7 linked regions of the Ovis aries genome follow. The protein of the gene in region 5 binds, or shares a complex with, the protein of the main gene of each other region. Links are inferred from orthologs where the notes say so. Each region holds a gene or a part of one and is shown on either strand. Other genes may lie near its edges. The genes, in order: PRPF6, STRAP, SNW1, USP39, SNRPD2, SNRNP200 and PLRG1.

The links.
Region 1: SNRPD2 (region 5) and PRPF6 share a complex: the UniProt entries of both Homo sapiens proteins name them as parts of the U4/U6-U5 tri-snRNP complex. The link is inferred for Ovis aries from reciprocal best matches to the Homo sapiens genes SNRPD2 and PRPF6.
Region 2: SNRPD2 (region 5) and STRAP share a complex: the UniProt entries of both Homo sapiens proteins name them as parts of the SMN-Sm complex. The link is inferred for Ovis aries from reciprocal best matches to the Homo sapiens genes SNRPD2 and STRAP.
Region 3: SNRPD2 (region 5) and SNW1 share a complex: the UniProt entries of both Homo sapiens proteins name them as parts of the minor spliceosome. The link is inferred for Ovis aries from reciprocal best matches to the Homo sapiens genes SNRPD2 and SNW1.
Region 4: SNRPD2 (region 5) and USP39 share a complex: the UniProt entries of both Homo sapiens proteins name them as parts of the U4/U6-U5 tri-snRNP complex. The link is inferred for Ovis aries from reciprocal best matches to the Homo sapiens genes SNRPD2 and USP39.
Region 6: SNRPD2 (region 5) and SNRNP200 share a complex: the UniProt entries of both Homo sapiens proteins name them as parts of the U4/U6-U5 tri-snRNP complex. The link is inferred for Ovis aries from reciprocal best matches to the Homo sapiens genes SNRPD2 and SNRNP200.
Region 7: SNRPD2 (region 5) and PLRG1 share a complex: the UniProt entries of both Homo sapiens proteins name them as parts of the minor spliceosome. The link is inferred for Ovis aries from reciprocal best matches to the Homo sapiens genes SNRPD2 and PLRG1.

What each region holds. Positions count from the first base shown.
Region 1 is NC_056066.1:53,568,002-53,572,557, forward strand, and holds the start of PRPF6 (pre-mRNA-processing factor 6), read right to left. Parts: upstream 3,114-4,556; 5' UTR 3,003-3,113; coding exon 2,932-3,002; intron 1,267-2,931; coding exon 1,098-1,266; intron 1-1,097. UniProt on the Homo sapiens protein: Involved in pre-mRNA splicing as component of the U4/U6-U5 tri-snRNP complex, one of the building blocks of the spliceosome.
Region 2 is NC_056056.1:199,646,385-199,650,800, reverse strand, and holds the start of STRAP (serine-threonine kinase receptor-associated protein), read left to right. Parts: upstream 1-1,271; 5' UTR 1,272-1,580; coding exon 1,581-1,692; intron 1,693-2,428; coding exon 2,429-2,564; intron 2,565-4,416. UniProt on the Homo sapiens protein: The SMN complex catalyzes the assembly of small nuclear ribonucleoproteins (snRNPs), the building blocks of the spliceosome, and thereby plays an important role in the splicing of cellular pre-mRNAs.
Region 3 is NC_056060.1:87,002,766-87,006,499, forward strand, and holds the end of SNW1 (SNW domain-containing protein 1), read right to left. Parts: intron 3,285-3,734; coding exon 3,167-3,284; intron 1,594-3,166; coding exon 985-1,593; 3' UTR 670-984; downstream 1-669. Other genes in the region: SLIRP (SRA stem-loop-interacting RNA-binding protein, mitochondrial), read left to right, coding at 555-626. UniProt on the Homo sapiens protein: Involved in pre-mRNA splicing as component of the spliceosome. As a component of the minor spliceosome, involved in the splicing of U12-type introns in pre-mRNAs.
Region 4 is NC_056056.1:57,489,655-57,493,360, forward strand, and holds part of USP39 (ubiquitin carboxyl-terminal hydrolase 39), read left to right. Parts: intron 1-2,572; exon of another isoform or gene 2,573-2,645; intron 2,646-3,205; coding exon 3,206-3,341; intron 3,342-3,706.
Region 5 is NC_056067.1:53,040,844-53,045,615, forward strand, and holds SNRPD2 (small nuclear ribonucleoprotein Sm D2), read right to left. Parts: upstream 2,928-4,772; 5' UTR 2,866-2,927; coding exon 2,864-2,865; intron 1,511-2,863; coding exon 1,331-1,510; intron 361-1,330; coding exon 186-360; 3' UTR 94-185; downstream 1-93. Other genes in the region: QPCTL (glutaminyl-peptide cyclotransferase-like protein), read left to right, coding at 3,682-3,891, 4,367-4,510. UniProt on the Homo sapiens protein: Plays a role in pre-mRNA splicing as a core component of the spliceosomal U1, U2, U4 and U5 small nuclear ribonucleoproteins (snRNPs), the building blocks of the spliceosome.
Region 6 is NC_056056.1:104,075,021-104,079,002, forward strand, and holds part of SNRNP200 (U5 small nuclear ribonucleoprotein 200 kDa helicase), read left to right. Parts: intron 1-616; coding exon 617-810; intron 811-1,023; coding exon 1,024-1,147; intron 1,148-2,133; coding exon 2,134-2,283; intron 2,284-2,518; coding exon 2,519-2,629; intron 2,630-3,409; coding exon 3,410-3,541; intron 3,542-3,704; coding exon 3,705-3,893; intron 3,894-3,982. UniProt on the Homo sapiens protein: Catalyzes the ATP-dependent unwinding of U4/U6 RNA duplices, an essential step in the assembly of a catalytically active spliceosome. Plays a role in pre-mRNA splicing as a core component of precatalytic, catalytic and postcatalytic spliceosomal complexes.
Region 7 is NC_056070.1:3,083,227-3,087,208, forward strand, and holds part of PLRG1 (pleiotropic regulator 1), read left to right. Parts: intron 1-466; coding exon 467-575; intron 576-1,543; coding exon 1,544-1,683; intron 1,684-2,132; coding exon 2,133-2,404; 3' UTR 2,405-2,943; coding exon of another isoform or gene 2,944-3,003; 3' UTR 3,004-3,982. UniProt on the Homo sapiens protein: Involved in pre-mRNA splicing as component of the spliceosome. Component of the PRP19-CDC5L complex that forms an integral part of the spliceosome and is required for activating pre-mRNA splicing.

The sequences.
Region 1 (4,556 bases), on a different chromosome or scaffold from region 5:
CCAATGCACCGCCAAGCAGAGGGTGCTGGTTCAGTCCCTGGTTGGGGAACTCAGATCACACATGCCGTGCTGCACGACCAAGAATAAATAAGTAAATTTAAAAAAAACACAATAATAGTACTGCTGCTGCTGCTAAGTCGCTTTAGTCGTCTCCGACTCTGTGCGACCCCATAGACGGGAGCCCACCAGGCTCCCCAGTCCCTGGGATTCTCCAGGCAAGAACATTGGAGTGGGTTGCCATTTCCTTCTCCAAAGCATGAAAGTGAAAAGTAAAAGTGAAGTCGATCAGTCCAACTCTAAGCGAGATGAGGAGAAACTGTGAAGGATATGCAGGAAGTCTCCATACTATTTTTGAAACATCTCTATAACTTTAAAATTATTTCAAAATTAAATTTTTATTTTTTTATTTCAAAATTAAAATTTTAAAAACCTTTTCCTCTGAGGAAAAATACCATCTGTTGTAATATATCTATAGAAAACCTCATAGACCAAACAAGAATTAACTAGAAAGATGAGAACTAACGCAAATGAAGACAAACATTACCAGCAACTCCACTTATAATTCCCCTCATAAGGGCTTTCCTGGTGGCTCAGTGGTGAAGAAATCCACCTGCCAATGCAGGTGACATGGGTTTAATCCCTGATCCAGGAAGATCCCACATGTCTCAGAGCAAGCAGCCCAAGCACAACTCTTAAGCCTGTGCTGGAGAGCCCGGGAACTGCAACAACTGAAGCCACTACATGAGAAGCCTTCCCACTGCAACTGGAGAGTAGCCTCTGTTTGCCACAACTAAAGAAAGTTCGTGCAGCAATGAAGACCCAGCACAGCCCCCAAAAAAGAATAAGAAAAATTAGTTTCAGAAAAAAATTTTCATCTTTAAAGACCAGCCAAGATACGTCAGTGTGACAGTTCTAATATTAGCAAGTGCATCTCTTCTGAAGCAACCACAAAAGGGCACATTTCGTTGTATTTGTCCTGCTCCCCCTCACACTCTGTACACGCTGTCCCCTAACCTTGAGTAGCTAAAACAGTCAATATACCCATTACTCCAAGCCCCTCATCAAATGCCCACAGCACAGTGTCCCACACAAGTCACCTCATCATAATTGGTGTCATTAAGATCCTCATCATCGTCATCTGCAGCCTGGCTCTTCTTCATCTGGTCCCCAACAGTCCTCTTGCCTGGGGGCGCATGGCGGTCATCCACAGGATCGTTGGCATCCCGAGCAGGCCCGATGTCTGAGCGGGTGGTGAAACCAGTGGCGCTGCAGGAAACCCCAAGGCGCCCATTTATCCTGTGCCAAGACGCTTAACAGCTGTCACCTAATGACACCTTTTTCTAACTCCTCTGGGAAATCTTCAAAGAGCCCGGAGAAAAACTCCATACAGCTTTGCTCTCACACACCGCCTGTCTGCCCTCTTCAAGAGAAAAACCTAAGGAGTTTCCGAGATTCGTCTGGGCACTAGACCTCCCTTCTTCTAGGTCCCAGCCTCCCGTTTCCAACAGCCTGCCAATCAGCCCTCTCTCCCAATCCACCAGGTCCTCAATCCTATGTGGCCCAGTCAGAGTTCCTACTCTGTGCCCACCCTACAGCTGCTCAGAGTTGTTTCAGTCAATGGTGACAGTGCTCCCCCAGGCACAACAGCATCAACTTTGCTTCCTTCTCCCTCTCATCTCATTAGAAAACACCCTGATGCTGGGAAAAATTGAAGGCAGGAGGCGAAGGGGATGATAAGAGGATGAGATGATTGGATGGCATCACTGACAATGGACATGAGCGTGAGCAAGCTCTGGGAGATGGTGAAGGACAGGGAAGACTGGCGTGCTGCAGTCCACAGAGTGGCAAAGAGTCGGACACGACTGAGCAACTGAACAACAACCCTCCCATCTGTCTCCAAATTCTACAGGCTCTACCGCCAAAATCCCTCCTCCCATTCTGGCTACCCCCACATGTAGCTCTCCTTCTGCTTCAAAGCAGCTCTGAGCACAGTATACTGAGGCATCTGCCTCACTTATGCCTACAGGGGCTCTGGTCCCTCTGCTCCTGCAGTTCCACCCACACAGATTCCTTGTAATTCCCTCTTCTTCCTCCACACTTCATCTTCTTTCTCAACTGCCCAACACAACGGGTCAGTTTCTTCTTTGACCTTGCCACAACTGTACACCCTTACATCCTCCTTCAAAACTTGGCTCAGATGTTGGTGGCTGGTTGCTTTCTCTTTATGTACTTATTTACACAAATACCTCATCTCTCCTGTTAAACTGCAAGTCCAATGTGCGCCCCAGATTCTAACGTGCATAACGCTGGATATAATACTCGCAAAAGAGAAACCCAATAGTCTTCTTGACCAAATGAGTAACAAACAAATAGGATGATGATTGCTCATTTATTCAACAATATACGGTAGGCACCTGACCTGGGGGACGCAGTCCCAAGACTCACCAATGCCACCCCTACCCTCAGGGAGTAGAGACTCTGAAGAAGCAGCAATATGACCAGCAGCACCTCAGAGGTGAATGAGGTACCACGGGGAGCGGCCAAACAGAGGACTCCAGCCCGGCTCGTGGGAAGAAAATCTGTCACGCTCGAGACAGGGCTGGGAAGTCCGAATGGCCCAGGGGTTAAAGTAGCCATGGCACTCCGACTACATGACGGGGACTCGCGACCTCACCACTGCAGAGTGGCAAGACTGTGCTACCACCCACCCTGGGGACTGAAATCGGGCTCAGAGCCGGCGCACCAACTCCAACCGTCCCGCCACCTCGGGCCAGACAACCTCCCTCGGGTCTGCCCTGATCCAACGCGCTGTTCTTCCCACAAGGATCAGACTGACCCCAAACCTTCCCTGCTCTCGTCCTCCCAGTAGCCGTCGGCGAGCGCCCCGACCCAGGCCCCTTCCCTCAGCGCGCGGCCAGCTCCAGGCCTCACCCTCGGCCCAGCCCCGGCACGTAGCCGAGAGGGGCGGGCATGCCCAAGAACGGCTTCTTCTTCTTGTTCATGGCGCCGGTGACACCAAAGGCCAAGAATGTGAAAGACCCTGGCCGCGGCCAGAAGCGAACCACCACAGAATCTTTTAAGTTCCGCCGCAGGAAGCAATTGCCGCCTGCGTCACCCTTGCCCCGGAAGCAGAACACCCCGTACGACGCAGCCCCGCCCACCGTGGATTCCCCGGGCGGAAGTTCACGAAACAAGACTCCCGGCAGCTTCGGCTAAGGGGCGGAGACGCAGAGCGCGTGCGCGGGAACGCCGGTTCCTGGCCCCGCGGGCGAACCGTGTCTTGCTGGGCTAGCCCTGTGAGATCTCCGAACTGAGCAGGGGCGGCCCTGCTTACAGCCTGTTCTCGATGCATTTCTGAGACCTTCCTGTACTATCCGGACCTCTTCTTGTACTAGCAGGGTCCTTTTCTTCCCTGAGCCACACACTTTGCCCTTCAGAATCGTCCTGGCCCTGGGTCAGGGCCTAACACACCTGAACGAGCTGCACACCTAGGCCGTTGTGTAGAGCTTGGTGGGTTGTATGTGTCGCGATCGCTGTGCCCCCATGTGCAGTCTACTGCCCTGGCTCTCAACGCTCAGATTTCTGGGCCCAATTCGGGCCCTTCCCACACCCCAACTATACCCTGAACATCCCTGTGACTCCGGAGAGGGTCAGAACCCAGACCCTAAAGAGTTAATTGATGAAAATAAATGCAGCAGAACAAGCCAGTATGTGGGCATGGGTGGTCACAACATGTGGGTGGATTCCTTGTGTGTTCGTAGGCACAGATGCAAGTCAGACCATCTGTACTCATTTGAGGTGGACATGCAGGACTGTCCTGCATACATGTCTGAGTGTCCATGTGCACCTTTGCTGAGAAGGCTGTGGAACATTCTCTGGCCCCCACATATACCTGGGGAGAGCCATCAGGTTGTTGGCAGAGCAGGCAAAAAGCTGGTCACGAGTCTAGCCTTCTACTGGAAGAGGCAGCTGCTAGCCCAACCTATCACTTCTCACTGGAGTTCCGAAGCAAGCACAATGCATCTGCCTGCTGCAGCCTCCTCGGAGTTTCTCTCTCCTGTCTGTCCCCAGCCGACCCCTTTTTGACACCACGTCCTGGGCACTGAGTCAGATTCCAGAGTAACAGAAGGCAGGGAAGAGACCCTGATGTCCTCCTGAAGTTCACAGTGTTGGTGCGGGCTGAGACGGTCAAACTGGCTTCTCTGGGAAACAAGTGCCCATTCCAAGGGAGACCTCCGTAGAGGTCTGCAGAATGCATGAATAAAGGAATGGGTAAGTAAACTGACATAGGAGAATGGAGGGGAGGGGTGGGTCTGGCCATTGACCGTAGCCCCAGAGGGCAGAGGGTCCCAGGAGAAAGTAGAACCCTTTCCCCTTTCGGTCCCTGCCTCAGGTGCTCCTGCGGACACCTGGACGCCGTGCAACTGCACAGAGTCACTCGTTCTTGGACTCATGCCCAGGTGCGCACGGCCGCCCCTTGCCCTGGCAGCCGCCCTCCGCGCTTGCAGATCCGCGCGCCGCCGACACCCCTCGGAGCTCCCGGAGCGCGCCCGGCT
Region 2 (4,416 bases), on a different chromosome or scaffold from region 5:
ATGTATGGATGTGAGAGATCGACTATAAAGAAAGCTGAGCGCTGAAGAATTGATGCTTTTGAACTGTGGTGTTGGAGAAGACTCTTGAGAGTTCCTTGAACTTCAAGGAGATCCAACCAGTCCATCATAAAGGAGATCGGTCCTAAGTGTTCATTGGAAGGACTGATGTTGAAGCTGAAACTCCAACACTTTGGCCACCTGATGTGAAGAACTGACTCATTAAAAAAGCCCTGATGATGGGAAAGATTGAAGGCAGGAGGAAAAGGGAACGACAGAGGATGAGATGGTTGGATGGCATCACCGAGTCAATGGACATGAGTTTGTGTAAACTCCGGGAGTTGGTGATGGACAGGGAGGCCTGGTGTGCTGCAGTCCATGGGGCTGGAAAGAGTTGCACACGACTGAGCAACTGAACTGAACTTACAAATTATTATCCGTATACTGGGAATGGGAACTCAAGCTTTACTGGTGTATTTCATCAAAGAATTTGAGGATCACTGTTCTAGAGTCCTTCGAAGGCCTCAAAAGAAAAAGTAATTGGAAATTAATTGTATTCAAAGTCACAGGACTTCCCTGGTGGCTCAGACGGTAAAGCGTCTGTCTACAATGTGGGAGACCCGGGCTCGATCCCTGGGTTGGGAAGATCCCCTGGCGAAGGAAATGACATAGGAGCCTGGTAGGCTACAGTCCATGGGGTCGAACGAGAGTCGAACACGACTGAGCGACTTCACTTTCACTTAAAGTCACAGAGCCCGTTCAAAATACTAGCAATGGAGAAATGTTACGTGGCTGGGGAACGTACTTAAGGGCCCTGGAGACAATCCCGGAGGAGGTTTCTTATATAACTGTTAGGAATGAAAAAAAGTTCCTACTGTTTGCAGGTTTGGGTCATCGCCGGAAACAACTAGAGGTAGATGTTCACACACCCAGCACAGTTCAACCGCCTGAACGGCTTGGTGCACAACCCACAGAGGCCGCCAGGTTCAAGTGAGCAGTACCCGCTTTCGCACCTGGCAACTCTGCCCAGAAACTCCATGGCCACTGCCGTTCTGGAGTGAGAGCTCAGAGATCCGCGCCCCCACTTTGAACCAGAGCCAAAAGCTCCGCCAGAAGCCGTGCGTACAGGCGGGGGCCAGCGTCAGGCGTCCACCGTACGTGCTCTCGCGCCGGCGCGCTGCCGTCTTCGCGCCTGTATGCAGCTTCTGCGGGGCGAATCCGCCTTCCCGCTACTTCGTCACTTCCGGCGGACGCTCAGCGTCTTTCGTGTCGTCACTTCCTGTCGGTACCGGTGTGGACGGTACGGGTCGTGGCCGCCCGTTCTCCGCTTCTCCCCTTCCCCTACTCTCCTCCCTCCTTCCCTTTCCCTCCCTCGGCGGCGGTCGGTCTCCCGTCGCGGACTCCCTGACCCGTCCCTAACCCCTTCCTGACCTTGGGGCCACCGGATTGGCCTTTTTCTGTGCCTTGGCCCAGCGTCAGTATCGGGGCGGGGGCCTTGAAGAGCCGGAGGCGCTGCCACAGAGGAGAGAAAAGACTAGACGACCCCTCGGCTCTGCAGCGCGATCTCTCGGCTCGCCGCCGCCATGGCGATGAGGCAGACGCCGCTCACCTGCTCCGGCCACACGCGGCCTGTGGTGGATCTGGCCTTCAGTGGCATCACGCCTTATGGCTATTTTCTAATCAGCGCTTGCAAAGGTGAGCGGGGCCGCTAGTCGGGCCCCTGATGACTGAGGTCGGGCGGAAAGCGAACGAGGTTGGCATCCCCATTGCGGAACGAACTGCGGCTCTCGCAGCGTTTGAGGTTAGGGCCCCACGGCGGGCTGATGGGGAGAGGAGTAGTTGTTAGGACTTCCGCAGCTGACGCCGAGAGGCTTTGCTAAGTAATGCCCCTAAAGAAGGCTTCTCGTTTTACCTTTATTGCTATTTTTGGAAAAGCTGAACTGTGCGCGTGCCTAAACGTCCCGGCCAACAAACAGTGTAAATATCTCTCAAGGATTTGGCAGAATGCAGCAACTAGGCCAGGCCTTACTTTACGAAGACTTAGCGTTCCTGTTATCTTATTGAATAGTCTCTTCTCGTATGGAATTTTTCACTTCCGTTTTCCACCTTTCAAGTGGAAGCTGTGTGTGTGGGTGTGTGATCGAAGCTGAGATTTGTGTTAAGAAGTTTGTCCAAAATAAGACTCAAATCTAGATTGTTTTGACGCAGGTCAATCTTCACCTAGTTACAGATGCTTCCCAGAGAGAATGTGCAGCTGGGTTTCTCATTGAATTTATTTCTGAACAATCCTTAGTGACCCCAGTGAGTGAGAATAGTTCAGACAACAAAAACAGTTTCCACTTTGTTTTTCAATATGATCGTTTTATGTTTGAGTCTTAGATTTTAAGTCCTCCGAACTTCTAAGTCGCATGTCTTCTTCAATATTTTTTAGATGGTAAGCCTATGCTTCGCCAGGGAGATACAGGAGACTGGATTGGAACATTTTTGGGTCATAAGGGTGCCGTTTGGGGCGCAACATTGAATAAAGATGCCACCAAGGCAGCGACAGCCGCTGCAGATTTCACAGCGTAAGTGCAGCCAGAAATGGCCACCTTCGGAGTTCTCTGTGGATTGTGCTCTGAAATGATCAAAACGTTGTTAAAGGTTACTCGTGAAATTCTTACTGCCTACCATATGGAACACCCCGTGTTTGATCGCACCAGAATTCCAGCCTGATCCTACTTGCTTCTTTCTCTTAAATGGTTCTCAGACTGTTCACAGAGACTCAAATGACTTCATTTTGTGTAGGGGTGAAATCTAAATTGTTGATTTTCCCCTTGCATCTAGATTATCGTCATCTTTGTTGACTGCACTAGCAGAATGTCTGCTGATGCCGTTATTTCTTATGCCACTGCCATCTTAGTTCAGGTCCCTACCACTAGTCGTTTCTCATCTGTTCATCCTCCCTGGTGCTATCAGTTTTCCTGAACACAAATATCAGGTCACTTCTCTAGCTAATGCTTTTCCTGTCTTAACTCTGGTTTGTCAGAGATCCATGACCTTGGGCATACATTATTAGAAGCTTTTAAAATACTCATATAAGTATGGGTCTGGGTGGGGGTGGGGGGGCTGTAAAGTCCCCAACAACAGTTTATTTCCTTGCTAGAAGTTCTTCTAGGTGATTCTGATGTGCAGCCTTTAATCATCGGCCTAAAGGTTAAATTTCAGTTGTTGCCTCTTTACACTTTGGCCCATCCTAGTTCACCATCATCATCTGCCCTGCACACCCCGTGCCCCACAGTCTGGTTATACTCATTGTTGACAGAAGGGACCTTACTTACTCTGATTTTTGGCTTTGCATATATTATTAAGCTGACTTGCCAATGACCCACTTTCCTGTCTGCTCATGTGTGTCATGTCCTACATAACCTTGGTACCTCTACTTCCTAATGTTTATGACTTAGCAGACACTTAAATGTTTAAAGGAAGGCAATGTCAAGGGTTATTGTACATGTGTAGACTGTTAGAGTTGAGAGTCTTGAGAGTGAAAGAGGTTTTTAAAAATTGGTTTTTTTAAACAGAATTTTACACTAAAGAGCAATTGTGAATGTGTTTGTTGTGCCTTTGTATTAAGCAAATTAAACATACTAGGTTTATTATGAAAAATAAAGGCAGATTGATTGAGGTGGTGCATACATGACTGTATTTGTTGAAACTTGTAGAGCTCTGTGCCGTGGAGTGAGTTTTACAATACATAATTTTTTTTTAATAGAATTTTTAAATAAACAGAGGGAGATACAATCCCATGCTGATGTGGGATTAAATTTGAGATGATAGATCAGTAAGAAAAATTAAAATGTCAGTTTGAACTTTTTTCTTTGCCTTCAAAGAATAGATGTTGTTATGTTTATGCATAACCATTGTAAGGGTTTGTGCTCTGCCCTATTGTGAGTCTATGCAATTCTGATAAAATAAGGAACTGCTTGGTTTTATGTAAATCCTTTAATGTCAAATGTTGGTTTAGAGGTCGGCATGCATGCTTATAATGTGACAGACTCCTTTGTTAATTATGGGATGTGAAAAATAGGAAGTAAAAGTGCTTCTCATACAAGGAAGATTTGTGGAGGACTGGAAGGTGAGGGTGGAGAAGGCAGTGGCAACCCACTCCAGTACTCTTGCCTGGAAAATCCCATGGACGAAGGAGCCTGGTAGGCTGCAGTCCATGGGGTCACTAAGAGTTGGGCGCGACTGAATGACTTCACTTTCACTTTTCACTTCATGCATTGGAGAAGGAAATCGCAAACTACTCCACTGTTCTTGCCTGGAAAATCCCATGGACGAAGGAGCCTGGTAGGCTGCAGTCCATGGGGTCACTAAGAGTTGGGCGCGACTGAATGACTTCACTTTCACTTTTCACTTCATGCATTGGAGAAGGAAATC
Region 3 (3,734 bases), on a different chromosome or scaffold from region 5:
TTGGTTGAAATACTGACTTTCCCACTTACTGTGTGACCTTGAGAAGACTCTTTTGAGAGTCCCTTGGACTGCAAGGAGATCCAACCAGTCCATCCTAAAGGAAATCAGTCCTGAATATTCATTGGAAGGACTGATGCTGAAGCTGAAGCTCCAATACTTTGGTCACCTGATGCGAAGAACTGAGTCATTAGAAAAGACCCTGGTGCTGGGAAAGATTGAAGGCAGGAGGAGAGGGGGATGACAGAGGATGAGATGGCTGGATGGCATCACCAACTGGATGGACATGAGTTTGAGCAAGCTTTGGGAGTTGGTGATGGACAGGGAACCCTGGCATGCTGCAGTTACTCTGAGCTTCTTAACTGAACTGAACTGATGTGACCTTGGGCTAGACTGATTTACAAATTTTAATGGGAGTTCAGGGAGCCTTAAGTACAAGGAACAAATAACATCCTTTGGCTCACTGGTGCTGATCCCTCATAGAACAGCAGTTTTCAGTTTTAATGTTTTTGCAGACATTGACTTTCCTTACAGTGCTGAATTTCCCCCCCCCCCAGCTCCATGTTCAACCTCAAAAACCCAAAGCTTTGCAAGGAGACCAAACATCTGATGAAGAGAAAGATTTTTGAGACCCTCACTGCCTACTGAATAAAGTAAATAAAAGAGAGGAAGTTTTGTCTAAATGTTTTTATTTGAAACAAATAGCTGCACCAAGCAAGAGCTTACTTTCCCCGCTCCAAATCAACAGCACAACAGGGGCAAACATCATTTGGCAGGACAGTTCCAATATGTGAACATCCTTCTTTCTACTTGCTGTGATTGGGGTCACTTTATTCATAAGCAGTCATTTTTAGACAAAATATTAACCCCAAAGTACTAATGTCTCTTGAAAGTGGCCTTAATTTCACGTGTGGGGCAGTATTTTCTATAAATGCCAAAAGGTGGGAGAAGCACAAACACAACCCATTTTTAAAAAAACTAAATAATTCAAAGTAGAATTTTTCCATACCCCCCTCCCTCTCCTGTAATAAAAAGTAGTGCTGGGCTCTGACACCCAGATTTGGTTTTTATCCTGGCCATGTACAAAGTGTTCCCCATATGACTTGCATCATTAGGGTTATCAACAACAGTTCGTTCACTCTGAACAAAGTATCTACTCCTTCCTTCTCTTTTTGCCTTCATGCTCATGTTCCTTGGGACGGCTGCTATCTGAGGGTCTTTTAGAGCCACCGTGTTGCTTGGCTTCTTCCAAAAATTTGTCCAAACCGAAAGGATCCTCCTCAAACTGAACTGGTCCTTCTCGGCCTCTTTGTCTACGGTCTGAACCAGAAAACTCCTTATCGGGAACAAATCTAGGGAAGAAGAGAAATGGCTATGAACCACTTTATTTTCACTGGTGTAGATGTTAAAACTGAGCGGTCTGCCCTGGTACCTGTTAGTCTTTATTCTGGCTTCTAGGTCATCTCCATACATGTCCTTGTCCAGATTTTTACTGGGCCTGTAGATATTCTGGGCCATATCTTTTCCACCTCTCCAAGCTTGATCATAAACATTGTAAATTTCATCTTCCCCACATCCAAAACCACTGTCCATACCCTGTGGAAAAATAGACATTAAAGTATGCAAGTTTTTATTATAAGTTGAATCAGATTACATTCTTAGGAAGAGTAAACCCTTGCTCATTTACAGCTTACATGTTCAACAATCTGAACTACAAATTAAAAAGGTTATTAAAAAATGGTCACAGGAGGGGATATATGTATAGCTATGGCTGATTCATGTTGAGGTCTGACAAAAAAGTCTGTAAAGCAATTATCCTTCAATAAAAAAAAAAACGGTCACAGTTACTCTTTTTTCTTCATATCACCTTTGGGTCCTTACATTAAATATGGTACTCATTAACGACTGTTTTAGCAAAGTGGTCTTTAAAACTGGAGGATACTAGTATAAGCAGGCACTTGACAATCCATTTGTGCAGACACAGTGGCAAGATGAAAGAACTGCAAAGCATTTTATCTGATGCCATTTATAGTAATGTTAAACTCCTTAACTGTGTGAGAACACTACTGAAGTGTAACACAATATTCTCAATGAAAATCTCAAGTCAACAAACTTGTTTTGTGATGGTTAATATAAGAATGTGCCTTTTGATAAAACTTTTCCTCAACTTTTTTTTTTTTTTGGTTTCGAAGGTAGACTTTGTTATTCACGAAACGGTATCCTGGGGTGTGAGGGGTCATGGTCTCTGTTGAACCATGGTTATGGCCTAGAAGCGGGAAGCCAGGCCCTGACTCAGCTGGTGCAGAGTAGGGGCGAGGACCTGGGTTCTCCTGATGTGGTTATAGTCGTGCTGGGGACGTATGTACCCTGTCACCCCCCTGGTGGGTCCGTGAGTCTGTCCTGCTGTGACTCGGATACCATGCTCTCAGCATGTTTGCTGGAACAATCCGCAGGGTGACTCCCAGCCTTGCAGGAGGAGATGGGACCCCTCTATACCCCAGAAGACATTTATACTTCTGTATTCTCAGCACAGTCTGCCTTGTCTTTATTTATATACATGTATCTGTCTTTTCCAGTAGACTTGCAGGTTCCTTGAGTGTTAAGACATGTCTACCTTTGATCTCACTGACTTACATACAGTAAATCATCAATGTTGGGTGAATTAAAACATAAAGGGACTGCCTCAGGCCTAAGGTGTTCTAGCTAGTTAATGACAACTGATACTAGAAATCAGACTTTCTGATGAGTACTTTGGTTTTATAGCTTCATTTTTCAAAGATCCCAAGTTTGTGTTTTTATAGCATAAAAAAATTATTTTTGCAAATATCGACAAAAAATAACCCAAGAGACACTTTTATAGGACACTGGCTCTATTCTAGAAATAAAAGACTCACATACCAGAACCAAGTTTTACTACCTAATTTCTTTCATTTTCTAACAGTGTCTCAAATCCTAGCCAACTCTAAGAGCTATTCTAACTTGTTTCTTAAGTTACAATATGCAACTTCTGATTTTTTTTTCCCCATCACACCAGCATACCTTAGGCTGATGCAAATGTCTCATATGCTAATTTTCTTTTCCCTGAAAATTGTCATTTGTATCAACACTTAAGATATGCTATTTCTAAAAAAAAACAAAAAAAGATATGCTATTTCTAGACTCTGTGTACCTTGGATTGGTTGAAGAGCCTTTGGTCATACTGAACTTCATTGGAAGTCCGAGGGTTGGGCACGCCAAGAGCAATGACTTCACTGATGTCTCGATTTTCATTTCTCTGTAGTTTCGACCTGTTTTGAAATACCATGCCACAAATTGAAACTTCTTCACAGACAAGATGAATTTCAACTTCAATACAACCATTATCAGAAGCAGAGGAAATAAATATGTCCAGTTCACATCTTATGAACATATATATTCCTTGATAAGGCACAATTAGGATGCCATTTCTTATAGTATTTCAGATACATGATTATTGGAAGAGACAGGGTTTTACAATTAGGCATTCCTGATACAGAAAAGAACTGCTAGAGATTTCTTTTTTCCCTTGAGGAAAATACAGGACTACAACATTATAATTTGACATCTAAACACTACACAAAGTGATCACCACCAAAGTGTAGTTACTGTCAATCACCATACAATTGACCTCCTTCACCCATTTCACTAATTCCTCAACCTCCTTCTCTGGTAACCACCAGTCTGTTCTATCTATGAGTTTTTGTTTTGTTTTTTGTAGA
Region 4 (3,706 bases), on a different chromosome or scaffold from region 5:
TTAACATCAATTTATTCCCTTTTGCCACTGAGACAGTTTGGGTTCAGTCATGAAATTTTAGAGTATAAATACTTCTGAAGACTTTTCTAGGACTTGTTCAAAGAAGTCCAAACAGCTGTTGTTAAAGCTGAGAAGACAGTATGAGAAGCCAGTTCTCAGCAGCTGGCAGGCATTTTGGCTCTCTTGAGCCCTCATCAGTTTCCTCAGACTCCTATCTAAAATGTATTTTAACAGTGGCTGTTGAGGGACTTCCCTGGCATCCAGTGGTTAGGACTCAGCACTTTCACTGTGTTCCACAGCTGGGGAACCGAGATCCTGCAAGCTGCGTGGCAGGGCCAAAAAAAATCCCCAAAGCCCCCAAACAACAATGACTATTTATTGCAATCTATATGGTCGCTGTCAGTTTTTGGAAATAAGTAGCTATCCTTAACACATGGAAAGCTGCATAATATAGTTAGAACAAAGTTGCCTGCTTATTAATACATGGTTTACATTGAGATTTTTTGTATTTTTGGACAGATGATATATTCATAAATTCATAGTGTAAAATTCAAAAGGAGATAACATATCTAGAAATGATCCCTGGATGTGATCACTGTTACCATTTGTAAATCTTTCCAGAGATGATAGTGCTGTGTTTCATGTTATGAGTGGTAGCACAGCAGACGGATCTAGAGATGAGAAAAAGGATATGATCTCTCTTGGGCTTCCCACGTGACACAGTAGTAAAGAATCTCCCTGCCAGTGCAAGAGATGTGGGTTTGATCCTTGGGTTGGAAAGATCCTCTGGAGAAGAGAATGGCAATCCACTCCAGTATTCTTACCTGGAGAATCTCATGGACAGAGGAGCCTGTGGGCTACAGTCCATGGGATCACAGAGTTGGACACAACTGAGTGACTGAGCATACACATACTCTCTCTTATTCTACCATGTATTTACATTTTTATAAATATTTGTAGGTGTCAGAAGGTTATATTTTTCCTGAAAATAGTATAGTTAGCTTTCTCTTAATAGTCATGTTAACTGTCCATCTACTTCCCCATTTGAAAGTTCTTGGTAGTTGTGATTGCCGTCTTCACAGTAAGCCTGTATTATAGTTCTTGACTTCATAAAAACTGGTATACATTTATACCACATTTGTACATCAACAGATGAAACAGAAAAGGAGGTTTTATTCTAAGTACATCAAGAATGCTTCCCTGTGTTTAAAATAATGAGTGTTCAAGTCTTAAAAATAAACTTGATGTTTTTAAGTCCCAATTGAAGGAACCTAGTCAGTAGTCCCTATTGACAACCAGAACTGAGAAATTTGGAAGCTGTGGGGGAGTCAAGGTGGGTTCCATAAAGGAGAGAAAGCTGGATGGGAAAAGGATAAAGCTTTTCAAAGCAGAAAAGAGGGCAGGTAACTCTTGGATCTTGCTGCTTCCCTAGTGCCTGGTTTCTGATGCATTTCCTAGTCTGAAACTTTGAATCAGTTAATCCCCCTTTTGTACTTGGGCTGCCCAAGGTGGATTTCTGTTACTTGTAATCATTTTGCCTACTTGACTAAAGGCAAAATAATCAAATAAACACAGTCTCATAAAATCAAAGAAAAAAACACATCTGAATGATCTGCCTGGTTTGCCGTATGTTAAAAAGCTAATTGATATATTTATTTTGGCTGTGCTAGGTCTTTGTTGCTGTGCATGGGCTTTCCCTAGTTGTGGCAAGCAGGGGCTACTCTGGTTGTGGTGCAGGAGCTTCTCACTGTGGTAACTTCTCTTGTTGTGGAGCATGGGCTCAAGAGCTTCAGTTGCAGCTCGTGGGCTTAGTAGTTGCAGATCACAACTTAGGGGTGGTTTAGTTGCCTGGCAACACGTGGAATCTTCCTGGACCAGGGATTGAACCTGTGTCCCCTGCATTGGCAGGCAGATTCTTAACCACTGGACCACCAGGGAAGTCCTGTTTTGCCACACTGAAATTGTCACAGTGATTGTATACAGTGATAGCTGACATGATCAGGTGAGCAGGCTGCTATAGCCTGAGTCCAGAGACCAGGTACCCCCTGAACACTGCCACTGCAGCCGATTCCCTGACAGAGCAGAGGGTGAGGCGGTTACCCTTGTTCTCATCTCAGAGGAGATGATGACTCTCATTCTCTTATAGAAGAGCCTTAGCTTATGTCACCTGCTTAAACTTACACACAGCTCCGAGGTGACAGAGCCTCGATTCCAGCTCAGGTCTGAATGACTCCAAGCTGTGTGCTTCAGACTGCTAGGTATGCATTAATTTTTATTTTTGAATATTTTTTTGTCCATGCCTCGTGGCTTGAAGGATTGTAGTTCCCCAATCAGGGATTGAACTAGGGCCCTTGGCAGTGAAATCATGGAGTCCAACCACAAGACCACGAGGCATGACTCCCCTAGGCATGCTTTTATTTATTTATTTTTAAATTTTTAATTAAAAATATTATTTATTTGGCTGTGCAGGGTTTTAGTTGCAGCATGCAGGATCTTTCAGTTGTAGGATCTTTCAGTTGCAGGATCTTTAGCTGCAGCATGCAATCTCTTAGTTGTGGCATGTGGGATCTAGTTCCCTGACCAGGGTTGGAACCCGGGCCCCCTGCATTGGGAGTGCAGAGTCTTAGCCACTGGACCACCAGGAATGTCTCTGAGCATGCTTTTTAAAAATTAATTAATTTATGGTTGCACTGGTCTTTATTGCTGCATGTGGGCTTTCTCTAGTTGCAGTGAGAGGGGGTCTACTCTTTAGTTGCGGTGGGCCGACTACTCACTTTCGTAGTTCTCTTGCATAGTACAGGCTCTAGGGCACCTGGGCTTCAGTAGTTGAGGCCTGTGGGCTCAATAGTTGTGGCACACAGGCTTAGTTGCTCCGCGGCTTGTGGGATTTTCCCAAACCAGGGATTGAACCTGTGTCTCCTACATTGACAGGCGGATTCTTTCCCACTGAGCCACCTGGGAAGCCCTAGGCATGCTTTTAAAATATGCTTTTCCCATAGAGCCAGTCCTCCTAGTTAGACCCATTTTTGTGGCAAACTATAAATATCCACAAACCTGGGCTCCCTAGCTATTCAAGCCCACCTAGACCCAAGTTCCCGAAATAGGGTTCCACAGCTTCGTGGTCCATTTAGGGAGGACAGTTAACCTCTACAGGGCAAACTTCATAGGATTTGTCTGATCTTCACTTTATTTTCCTCATTCTCAGAAATGTGGACCTGAGAGAGTATTTGTCTGAAGAAGTGCAGGCAGTGCACAAGAATACCACCTATGACCTCATCGCCAACATTGTACACGACGGCAAACCCTCCGAGGGCTCCTACCGGATCCACGTGCTCCATCATGTGAGTAGGGCTGACTTCTCACTGTGCAGAGTGGCAGAAGCCGGTGGTATTCCCTTGGCCTTTTGGAAGGCAGCTCCTTTCAGTTTGCTCTTTCTTGTCCTTGATTTTGGGATTCTGTGAGAAACAGTTGTCAGTGACCGGTTTAGGGCAACTGTTCTCAATTTTGGCTGCACGTGGGACTTCCCGGGGTGCAGGTTTTAGACTGCTGAAGCCTGGGCCATCCCAGACCAGTTACGTGAAAACTGTAATTTGTGCCTGTTGATTTTCCATTGGGGCAGAGGCCAGAGATGCTGCTGAATATCTTCCAATGCACAGGCAGCCCCCACAGGCAGCAAAGAGTTTTCTGGTCCAAAATGTTGGAGTTA
Region 5 (4,772 bases):
TTCAGAGAGGCCTGAGCCCATGCTTGGCCCCACACCCTGCCACCCCTCTCTGGGGTCTGTTCTGCTCTCTAGGCCCTGGGAACAGGCAGAGGCTGCTAGAAAAAACGCACAGTTTTATTATTTCAAGTACAGAGGGCAGGTCTTCGCAAAACCAGGGGGAAAGTTCTGACAGCAGGGAGGAGGCCCTACTTGCCAGCGATGAGCGGGTTCCTCAGGACCACGATGACAGAGTCCCCGCGCAGGAACATCTTGGAGATGTAGCGGTCCTTGTTGACTGGCTTGGACTTCTTCTTGCCCTTGCCGCTCTTGGGGACCTCCGTCCACATTTCCTTCACATTCTCCAGCACCATGTTGCAGTGCCTGGTGGGGACGGGGAGGCAGCAGGACTGAGTGAGGGGTGTGTCCTGACCCTTCCTCTGGGCGGCACTGCCTCTGGGAAGGGGGAGAGCCAGGGCTCCGAGGCTCGGGCAAAGGACTTCACCTTCTGCGCCTCAGTTTCCTCGTCTCTAAAATGGAGACATTCATGGTGCCTGCCTCCTATGGCTGTTGTGAAAATTAAGTGAATCAACACACTATTTTTCTTATGGGCATGTGTGATGACAGTGTGGAATAGCTCGGTCAACAAACGTTTACAATGATTAGAGCAATGAAAAAAAAACCAGGTAAGAGCCCTGTCTTCATGGGCTCTGCAGGCTAGTGAAGGGAGAACACGAAGCAGGTAAACAAACACACCTGTAATATACTGTCAGGTGGTAGTAAGTGCTATGAAGAAAAACTAACGCAAGGTAAAGGGATGGGGGGCTTCCCAGGTGGCTCTAGCGGTAAAGAACTTGCCTGCTAATGCAGGAGACATAAGAGATGCAAATTCAATCCCTGGGTTGGGAGGATCCCCTGGAGGAGAGCATGGCAACCCATTCCAGTAGTCTTGTCTGGAGAATCCCATAGACAGAGAAGCCTGGTGGGCCACAGTCCATAGGGCTGCACAGATTCAGACACAACCAAAGTGACTTAGCCCTCATGCACACACACAAAGGAATAGGAGGATACAGGGAACTATGACTGAGTGAAAGAAAGAAAAGAAAAAAATTGGGAAAGCTCTGTATCTTGCTATATAGTAATCTACGGTGAGGAAAGCACTTCCCAAATGCTAACTAAAGGCTGCATGTGTTTACTGAGCATTTATCATGTGTTAGGTACTGAGCCAAGTGCTTTTCATACATAGTATTACTGAAGCCTCATTACTGTTCTGAGGGATATTATTATGACGCATATTTCACAGGTAAGGAAACTGAGGCCCGGACAGCATACCTCCCCAGACCCTGGTGCTCACCTGTCGAAGGCCTTCACGCGGCCCAGGAGCTTCTTGTTGTTACGGCAGTTGATGAGCACTTGAGTGTTGTTTTTGACTGACTGCGTGAGCACGGAGAGCGGCCCCGTGTTAAACTCCTCCTCCTCCCGCTTCTGCAGCTCCTCTGGGGTCATCTCACTCTTGGGCTTGTTGAGGAGACTCCTGAAAAGACAAGTATGGAACCCAGAGGTGAGCAGGCCCATAGCCTGGGTGCTCATGGCCTCTCCCTTGGTGTCTCCCCGACACATATCCCTCTCTTCGTACTCAGTCCTCTCTCTTGCTATCACCACTTGGATGCCTAATGGATATTTCCAATCCTCGCATGACCTAGACTGAACTCCAGACCCCCCATAACCCCAACTTAATACTATCCACAGCCTTCCTCATCTCTGTCAGTGGTGACTCCATCCCTCTGGTTCTTTGAGCAACTTGACTCTTTCTTCTCTCACATCCTACATTCAATCTGTCAGCAAATCCTGCCATCTGCCACTAAAACCTATCAGAATCTGAATTTCTTACCTTGGCTTAAACCTCCATCATCTTTCCTAGGTCTCCTTGCCTCCACCCACGCTCCCCAACAGTTCGCCCTCCACAGAGCAGTCTCAAGGGTGGTGTCAAGAATCATCTCACTCTTGAGTACCCTCTCAGTGTAAACAGTAAAGCCCAGCTTTTACCCTCACTCTGTTCCAGGCACAATGGCCTCTTCAGTGGTTCTTGAAGCTATCAGGCAAACCTTCTTGGGCCCCTCTATTCACTTTTCCCTCTGCCTAGGTACGTCCCCAGGTACCTTTGCAGTTTGCTTTCTCACTTTCTTCAGGTTTTTGCTCAAGTGTTGCCTCCTTCATGCGTTCTGTCTCTCACAAGAGACATTCCACGCTGTTTTACCCTGCTCTGTTATTTCTTTATTCAAAACCCTATTCCCTAACACATTCTAGAATTTACGGATTTATTACCAGCACGTTTCCTGCCTGCCTCTTCCCATCCCGTAAGATGTAGAAGAGGATTTTTTTTCCCTTGGGGAGAGTGGAGTAATTCAGTGATATAAGCTATGCGTCTAAAGCAGCCTAATACACAAACAACTCAATAAATAACTGTTGAGTGACTACATAAGTAAAATCATCCCCATAACTCGTTATCCATACCAATGGCGGATGTGATCGAAAAGCCAATTGTCTCCAGCTACGCCTCTTACCTTAAGACCGCTTTTCCTACAAGTCCGTACTCCTCATCTCCCAGGTTTTTAATTCGTAAAAACGCTTCCTCTTAAACTTCACTTCAATAAGATTGCTTATTTGGGAAAGCCCAGCCTGTTATCTGATAAAGCTGTCCCCGCTCCCGAAGTCAGGATCCTTCAAAGGCCCCACGTCCCCTCGCAACTCATCAGTAGAAAGATACGCCACTTTACCCCCAAATGTTTGCTTCCGCGCCCACTTCTGCCTACCCACTTCAACCGGTAAGTGGCCAAACTTACACCCTCAATCCCACTGCCGCCACCCAAACCCAGCCCGGCCTCACATGATGATGATGGTGACCGCGTTTTCAAGCCACTACCGTCTCCTCCGTGGTGTGCCTCCCGAACAGAGAGCCAGAGGCGGGACTTCCTCTTCCTACGGCCCACTTCCGCGCGCGCCTGCGCATACCCAACCAGCGAGTGGGGCGTGGCCCGTTGCTATAGCGATCTCCGCCCTCGGCGGAGGCTGCCGAGTAGAAGCCTTACTTAGTAAGTAGCTCCAGGCCACCATTCAAGACAGTGCTGGGCAGATATTCACGACCATGGAGAGGAAAAGAAGGCGGGACTGATTAAAACCATTTTGTTGCAGAACCGCATAGGTTGAAAGAGGGGAATACTAGCCATTTCCAAATGCCCGCCCGCTCTGCCTTTGGGGGCGCGGCCTTGGCGAAGCCAATCCCCTCCTCGCTTCAGGGATGGGCACCTCCCCTTTCCTTCGGAAACTGTTGATTTACGTGTATATTGGTTTTTCTGGACCGGGGAGAGGGTCCATCCGGGAGCGGCGTGGATTTGCGCCCAGTAAGGCTAGTGTTTTCGGTGATCAAACGCTTCTCATTGGCTTCCCCTCCTGCGCTGAGGCGGCGCCTACTTCTTACGCTCTCCCTTTTGGGTTGTGCAACCCGGGGGAACCAACCCCCAAAGCTCCCTGAAGACAAGGAGCCGCGTCCTCAGGCCGAAAGTCCCATTTGCTTTACTGCTCGTGGGGGGGGCGGATGGTGCAGCCGCTCTTGTTGTTCATTGGTCTGGCTTATTTCATGGGGCGGGACTTGGCTCGGCCTTAACTCTATCCGCCGTCTCCGACCGGTTTCAGGGCCAAGCTGCCATGCGTTCCGGGGGCCGCGGGCGGCCCCGACTCCCGGTCGGGGAACGCAGCCTTTTGGAGCGACCCTCACCGCCCAAGCGGCGCCTGATACCGCGGGCACAGCTGTTGCCCCAGCTGCTGCTGGCTCTGACAGTAGCCTTGGTGTTCTATACCATTTGGAGCAGCTGGCATAGCCAGACTGAAGAGCTGCCGCTGGGCCGGGAACTGCGGGTGAGGACGGGCGGGGACATGGGCACTGCGGAAGCCCTTACTCCTTGCCTCCCCTTCCCCACGGTCTCATGGGGAAGACCCTAGGTTGGGTTAACCTGGCTTTGTCTTTACCTTATGGCCCTAGCTGCAGGTGCCGCCGTCTCCGTTCTTAGAGCGCATACCCCTTTCCAATGCAATGAGGCTTCGGGCTTGTTTTGTAATAGCGGTTACCCCGTAAGAGAGTCTGGAGTAGTAAGACTTGGAGTTCTGGGTTCTAATCCTAAAGGCAGCTATTTGGAAGAGTCCCTTCCTCTCGCTGGGCCTTGATTTCCCTCATCAGGATTGCCGTGGGCTGCGCAGGATGGGTTTGGAGGGACTTCTAGAAACCTCTGATGCTGGAGGCTGCGGCTAGGAAGAGGAGGGCAGCCTCCAGGATATGGTTGGAATGAGGGTCGTTTTCATGCTCTGCTCTTCTCTTCCCTACCTGCTTCCTCAGGGCCCTTTGATCGGAAGCCTCCCCGAAGCTCGGGTGCGGAGGGTAGTGGGGCAACTGGACCCTCACCGTCTCTGGAACACTTTCCTGCGCCCTCTGCTGGTTGTACGGACTCCGGGCAGCCCGGGCAATCTCCAAGTCAGAAAGGTAAAAGGACCCCACCTCTAACCGCTGACCCCACAGCCCATCAGTAAATAGGAAATAGGTATCCTGCCCAAGTGGCAGAGCTGGGGGTCTGCCTGGAGCTAATAGGAGCTCTATTCTGCTAACCACCAGACCACTGCCCTCTATACTGCACACCCCACCCTCAAATCTTATTATATGCATCAGCAACAGCCCTATGAACCTAATGAGGTGGGTACCAATCTGATCTTCATTGTGTAGATGAGGCAACTGACACCCAGAATAG
Region 6 (3,982 bases), on a different chromosome or scaffold from region 5:
AGTTGGCCGACCCCTGCTTAGAGCTTGCTACTCAAAGTCTTGTTAGAAATTCAAAGTCCCTTGCCGTGCTCCCACCTAAGAGCCTGCTACTCAAAGTCTTGTTAGAAATTCAAAGTCCCTTGCCGTGCTCCCACCTACTGAAATACAGTCTGCATTTCAGTAAGGTCTCCATATGCTTTGAATGCCTGCTGAGATTTGGGATGCACCGCCTTTATTCTTTATTTGATACATCATATTGTTTGCTCTTGGTAAAGATAACTGCCTAGAGGTGAAACTTAATCTGATACAAATTTGGTCTCATCAGAAGCTTCATTTTTAGTAAAGAAATCTATCTTTGAGGTGAGCTAGGAATTCATTTACCCAAGTGTCAGATTTCTCTGACCGTAACGCATTGTTCACTGAACTGGAGCAAAGCGGCTCATGCTCAGAGCACGTTTGCTGGGATGTTTCACGGTGAATGCTGTCTCATCCTTTGAGGTCCCCTGGCTTGGGATCCCTTTTCTTGTCTTCTTCATTTGCAATGGTAGTTATGTACTTGGAAAACGGGACTACTCTCAGGAAAGGGGCCCTCATTTCTCTGGTCCCAAAGGTAATTTGCCGCCCTCCCATCCCTCAGGATGAGATCCATCTTCTCCACGATGACAGAGGTCCTGTCCTAGAAGCGCTGGTGGCCAGGGCCATCCGGAACATCGAGATGACCCAGGAGGATGTCCGCCTCATTGGCCTCAGCGCCACCCTCCCCAACTATGAAGACGTGGCCACCTTTCTGCGTGTAGATCCTGCCAAGGGCCTCTTCTACTTTGACAACAGGTGAAAGAGGAGACGGGAAGAAGTTAAGCAGGGTGGCCTTCCTGATGTCTTGCTTCTCTGCCAAGGAGCTCTGTTAGATTCGAGCTTTAGAATGGCCCTGGTTTTGATGTGGTACAAATCCTAAAAGAGGCCCGTCACTCCCTGGCAGTGAAAAGGACTTTTTATTCAGTGCTTTGTGCCAAAGTCTTACTGATTTGACTGTTCAACTTCTAGCTTCCGCCCAGTGCCTCTAGAACAGACATATGTGGGCATCACGGAGAAGAAAGCCATCAAGCGTTTCCAAATCATGAATGAAATTGTCTATGAGAAAATCATGGAACATGCTGGAAAAAATCAGGTCTGTCATGGTTTCTTGTCACTCCTGACCTCTTTGAATTTTTGACTTACTGATAATTGGGCAGCGCTGATAGAGACAAAGAAAAAAACAAAGCAAATCACCAGTACCAGAAATGCAATGGGATATTGCTACAGAATCCCTTACCTTTGACTTTGAAAGGCTGCTAAAGGAATACTGTGAATAGCCTCGCACTTAAATTTGACAACCTTGGAGAAGTGGGCTAGTCTCAGAAACTACCAATTAGCAAGACAGCCTTGAAGAAGTGGGTAAAACATGAATAGTCCTATGACCATTAAGCTGAGCCTGTGGTTATAAAACGCCCAGAAAAGGAATCCCCTCGCACAGATAAGCAGTCTGTCCATCTAGATCATCAGGGGTTCTTCCATGAAAGATTTGAGTGGCTTACACTAAAAATATTCTAAAAATCAAAATAAAAATGGAAACTTAGTGAAAGGGCATTTTGCTGGATAGTGTGATGTAATTTTTTAGTTGAACACTGTGTATTTTGTCTCATAAGAAAGAAGCATAAGGATTTAGAGGAAGAGACGAATCTTTCCTTGGCAAGAAAGACTTGGACGGCTTTTATTTCCTGCAAATGGTGCTAGTTTTCTACTAAGTCCACTTACATAGACCAGTGCCCGTTATGTTTCTTAACTGTTTAGAATCTCATCAGATACCTGAACACAAATTTTTAATCGAGACTCCTGAATTCTCATCTATAGTATATTTAAACTTGTTATTAAAGACAAAGTGTTAGGAGTTAGTTGGGTTTCCTAGCAACAGGGTCCTCGTCATGAGCCAGATTTGTTTGCTTAGGGTCTTGAGGGCTCCGTTAGGCTTCCATGCGCTCCTGCCATCTCCCCACTTCAAGACCTCAGTCTCTGGCCTGCTAGTGGTGCAGCCTCTGCTCCCTGCTGCCGACTCCCCGGGCCGGGGGTGGGGGGTGGCTGTTGGAGCGGTGCCCCTTGACTGTGGCCCCTCTGCAGGTGCTGGTGTTTGTGCACTCCCGGAAGGAGACCGGGAAGACGGCCAGGGCCATCCGGGACATGTGCCTGGAGAAGGACACGCTGGGTCTCTTTCTGAGAGAGGGCTCGGCCTCCACAGAGGTTCTCCGGACAGAAGCTGAGCAGTGCAAGGTGAGGGGGTTAGGCCCGGGTCCCTCATTCCTCCCCGGTCGCTGGCTCAGTCCGCATCGGCCGGGCCGTCCTCCAGGGCTGCCTGGCGGTACTGCTTCACGGGGCAGAGTGTGACTGCCTGTGTCTCTGTGGACTGTGCGAGGAGCAGCGTCTTGGCTGAGGAGATTTGCTTCCTCTCCAGGAGAGTCCCCTCTGGCAGGCTCACTTCCTCACCTGTTCTTTCTCTTCTGCCCAGAACCTGGAGCTGAAGGACCTGCTGCCCTATGGCTTTGCTATCCATCACGCGGGCATGACCAGAGTTGACCGGACACTTGTCGAGGACCTCTTCGCGGATAAACACATCCAGGTGAGGGTGGGCAGAGCTCAGGCGAGGAGACTGGAAACGCTGGGCACTGGGCCGCGTGCTCATGCCTGGCGCTTTGTTGTTTCTGGCCCGGGTGGCCCAGGTCAGAGGGCTATGGTAGGTACAGTCAGTGGAACTTCACACCGCCTCTCCCAGCTCTTCCCATCATACGTGAGGGAAGCTGAGGAAGTTTAGGAAAGCGTCTGAGAAGCACAGCAAAGCCAGGATGTGGGTGACTCCAGATACTGTCACACAAGGCCCATAAAGTCAGGACCTTGTTCATTCCTTCTCTCAGGAGAGTCTGTAGTTTTAATTGTCTAGTAACCTTGATTTGGGCTTCCCTGGTGGCTCAGATGGTAAAGAATCCACCCACAATGTGGGAGACCTGGGTTCAGTCCCTGAGTTGGGAAGATCCCCTGGTGGAGGGCATGGCAACCCACTTCAGTATTCTTGCCTGGAGAAACTCATGGACAGAGGAGCCTGGCGGGCTGCAGTCCATCGGGTCACAAAGAATTGGATACGACTGAGTGACTAAGCACAACCTTGATTCAGATAGGTCTGCATTACTGCCTCTTTAAGTGTCTCTAGAGCCTTGAAATGTTGATTCTGGAAGAGATGAGGAACCCAAAGACTCCTTTCCTCTTCACTCTGATGTTTCATTGACAAGTACGGGACCAACCTCAGTCCTACTAGACGCCCTGAGTCAGGTGCCTAGAGAAGTTGAGGATAGGTACCCTTGGTGGCAAGGTCTGATTTTCTTATTGCCTTGCCTTGGGTCTGTAGGTTTTAGTTTCCACAGCAACCCTGGCTTGGGGTGTGAATCTCCCTGCCCACACCGTCATCATCAAAGGCACCCAGGTGTACAGTCCGGAGAAGGGCCGCTGGACTGAACTAGGCGCGCTGGACATCCTGCAAGTATGGAGCTTCTGAGTTTATTCTTACGGGAAAAGCATGCTGTGTATAAGATGCCAGCATACCCCAAAGGTGGCAGGTGGAGGGTGAGGTTTGTGGTGTAGGAGCCTGGAGTCAGGAGCTGGAAGCTCTGAGCCATGGCCCTCTGGTTGCTGTCTCCACCCAGATGCTGGGACGAGCAGGCCGGCCGCAGTACGACACCAAGGGCGAAGGCATCCTCATCACCTCCCATGGGGAACTGCAGTACTACCTGTCGCTGCTCAACCAGCAGCTTCCCATTGAGAGCCAGATGGTGTCCAAGCTGCCCGACATGCTCAACGCCGAGGTCGTGCTGGGGAATGTGCAGAACGCAAAGGTGGGCAGCCTCTGGCCTTTTCCAGAGGGGCCGGGGCGTCGGCACCCGGGCCCTCCAGCCCTGGGCGCCACATCCTCCGTGTAAGCGTG
Region 7 (3,982 bases), on a different chromosome or scaffold from region 5:
CTGACTAGAAAGTAGTGCTGTTAGATACAACTAAGTGCTGTTTTATACTTTCAAAATTAGCAGTCTAAGAAATTAATGTTAGAAGACGCACTACCCCTGACTTTTAGGACTGATCTGAGTCTTGCTTTGCTTAAAATATGGTTAATAGCAATGAATCTTCAAGACTAGAAAATAATTCCTTCCCTTGTTTTGTTCAAATAATCATGAGAGTCTTTGCCTTCCTCTCCACTAGGAATGACGTTATGCATTTGTCTTCACAGTTGTTCTGGCTCTTCAGATTAAGCGTTGATTACATTTAATAATTAAAATCAACCAGGTATTTTGAAAGAATAGAAAGCAGTTAGTCAAAGGTTGATAGGACTTTTGTTTTATATATATGTGTCTGTAGAAGAATGCTTCAGGTTTTATTATATTTACCTTTTGCATTCTTTTTTTCTGGTCTGTATTTTGGGGATTCTCCTTACAGGAAGCCATGATACTACAATACGATTATGGGATTTGGTGGCTGGAAAAACAAGAGTCACATTAACAAATCACAAAAAATCAGTCAGAGCTGTGGTTTTACATCCAAGACAGTAAGTCTGTTTTCCTAAGTAGCTTCTCTTCTTCCTTCAATTCTTAGTATAATTTAGAAATAGCAAAATTAGTACTACTTTGGTAGTCATTTAGTCATTTTTCCGACCTGTTCCATTTATGAGCTTGCATTTCCTTTATTTTCCTTGTGAAGTATTTTTCTTGTCCTCCATAAGATGAGGAAAACTTTCTACATAGTGAAAAATTATGTCAAATGAGATAATATAAATAAATCATGGTGACAGGCTGCATGTTGTAATGGAAGCTAATAGTTGCTAGATTTAAAGTTTTGGACAAAAATATTATTGGACACTGGACTGAACATAGAATAGTTAATTTCATCATGAAGAAATTAATATACATAGGAAAAAAATAGTAGGTATCATGAACATCATTCACAGAGAGATGTAGCATAACATCACAACCTGCTGTCTATAAAACCGTGTCCCCTGGTACTCCCAAGGTCTCCTGCCTATCCTCCCTCCTCACCCTCCCTGCATTTATCTTGTCTCCTCCTTCCGATCCCTGTCTCGCTCACTCCCTTTCTTCCTCTCCCTGACTCCCTTTTCTCTTCCTCTTGCCTCTTTCTCTCCTTCTCTCACGTCTTCTCTCTCCCTTCTTCTGGCTTTCTCGTTTTCTCCAAAACACTTAAATCACCCCTTGCCCTTCATGTGAGTTTAGGGGGTTATATGTTTATTGCTTTAGCTCAGTGTAGAGCACTGGGGAAATGAGAGGAGAATATAACTTCAATCTAGGACTTATCATACATTTAAAGTAATTTAGAAATCTGATATAACTTGGAACAGATCTTTTTATCTTGATATTTTTATCTTGGTATGACGATAATATTTTGCCAAAACTACATAAATCCTGATGATACATGCAAAATATAGCCATAATAAGATTTTTTAAAAATCCACCATTGTATTTAACTTTGTTTGCTTTATTATTAATTCTTTTCTTATTTCAGTTACACATTTGCATCTGGTTCTCCAGATAACATAAAACAGTGGAAATTCCCAGATGGAAGTTTCATTCAAAATCTTTCTGGTCACAATGCTATTATTAACACATTGACAGTAAATTCTGATGGAGTGCTTGTATCTGGAGGTAAAGTATTTTTATGATAAATATGTTTTAGTCTATCTTTTTTTTTAAGTGAGTAAAATTTCTAAGTCATTACACTGACGTATTAGAATAGAACTTGCCTGTTTAACATGTGTATTCATGCAAATTCATAATACATATAGCATATTTCATAGGTCAATTCTCTTTAAGTTCCCGCATTGATAAATCTAAGTTAAGGATTTATGCCAGAAATCACCTAAAGTTTGGTTGTGTGTTTTGAAGTTAAATGTCATTTTGTGGTGCTTTTTGAGATCTATAATAAATTATGAATTAAGCACAAATGAAAGTAGACAAATTGATATTAAGAGGAGCTCAAGTGCCTGTGTGTCTTTATAACTCCATGGTGCTTGGCTGATGATGGGTTCTTAATAAGTGTTTGTCAGGCTGAACTGTTGAGGGGACACTTGGTCTAACCTGTCTTTCCCTTTAAGCTGACAATGGCACTATGCATCTCTGGGACTGGAGAACTGGCTACAATTTCCAGAGGGTTCATGCAGCAGTGCAGCCTGGGTCTTTGGACAGTGAGTCAGGAATATTTGCTTGTGCTTTTGATCAGTCTGAAAGTCGATTACTAACTGCTGAAGCTGATAAAACCATAAAAGTGTACAAAGAGGATGATACAGCGGTAAGTTCTGTATTTCATAGATATTTTAAAGTAGAAAAAATCAGCTTTGCCAATTTTCCAGGCATTTTCTCATTTTAAAACTATTGAAATTATCAGGAGGGGAAATAATCTTCATAATACTAAAATATTTGTCATGTTGAATAGTGTCTGCTCGTAGATTGTTGCATTGGTTTTATTGATGACAGCAAATCCGTAGATAATTTTGATTGTATCTCAACTTTGCTTATTAGAGTTATTAAGAAAATCTTATCCTAAGAATAACAGCAAAAAAATAGATTGCTATGCAAATTAACTCTAGAATCAGAATCTTAGGTATTACTAGAATATCTAAAAACCATTAGATTTAAAATGAAACACCATAAACTGAATTTGTAGCAAATGCATTCATCCTTTATTAAATATTAAATATTATTTATCTTAATATTTATTATATAATAAATAATCAGATAGTGCCAGAAGTTCGTCACCTATCTTAAAATTGTTAAAGAACTGCTAAATGTGTAATGCCAAGTAATATAATTTAGAATAAGTGCCTTATTTTTGTTAGAAAGGAACTTATTAAATATGAAGGAGATCAGTAATACTTTGTTTTAACTTACTTACTTTTCTGTTTTTAGACAGAAGAAACTCATCCAGTCAGCTGGAAGCCAGAAATTATTAAGAGAAAGAGATTTTGATGTGTTCGTTGTCATTGCAGTTTTTGTTTTTTTGTTTCGTTTTAGCTTGGCCTTGATGAGAATATCCAGTCATTTGTGCTCTGGCTAGGAATATAAAGCAAAAACTCATGCTTGAATCATTGCATTTTCATATTTTACAATGAACTGTCCTTCCCCATGTTTTTATTTCTAAAATTAACAGTTTGAGATCCTAGGAAGTAAGATGTAGATATCAAGCATATGTGAGTTTTTTGACTGTAACTATCCTAAACAGAATGATTTGCCACTTCTATTAAAACACACCCCATTTTTTTTAACTTACAAAACTGCTTACTATAGTAGGACATGTTTTGAGGGGAGTAATCTTTCTCTTAAACCCTTAAATACTGGTATCTGTGATTGATATTTTGGGATTAAAGGATTTTGAAGTCTTATGTATGTTTATCTCACCAACAGTTTTTGAGCGCATGTTCTGCAAAGTTCTGCACTAGGTACTGTTCAGAAAGTATACAGATAAGATGTGTCTGTCCTTTAAGACTTCCACTTTTAGCAGCTTACTACAGAAATACTGTCATAGAAGTGCCAGTGAAAAACCAGGATAACACAGAGGAAGAGCCCATTTATTTTCCTTGGGAAGGATTGTGGAAGACTTCATGGAGTCAGTGGTGTTTGAGGTGAGTCTTGAGAGGTCACAGAAAGAAAGGGTATTCTAAGGCAAAGTGTGAGCTGAAAAACCAGACATATGAGAGGTGTATGTTCCAGGAACAGAGAGCTGTCTGCTGCACTTGAATGAGAACAGCTGGTGGCGGCAGGGAAAGCTTGTGTTTTGAGTTTCAGTTTTATTCCACAAGCAGTAGGTTACTAATATAGGTATCAAACCCTGGAGAAGTAACTGGAGATACCGATTGTTTGAAGCTATAGCAAGGGTTGCAGTCTTTTGCAGAGACTCCATGGAAAAGTTTAAATTTTTGATGCCTGTGCCTCTGTCCTTAGGATCCTC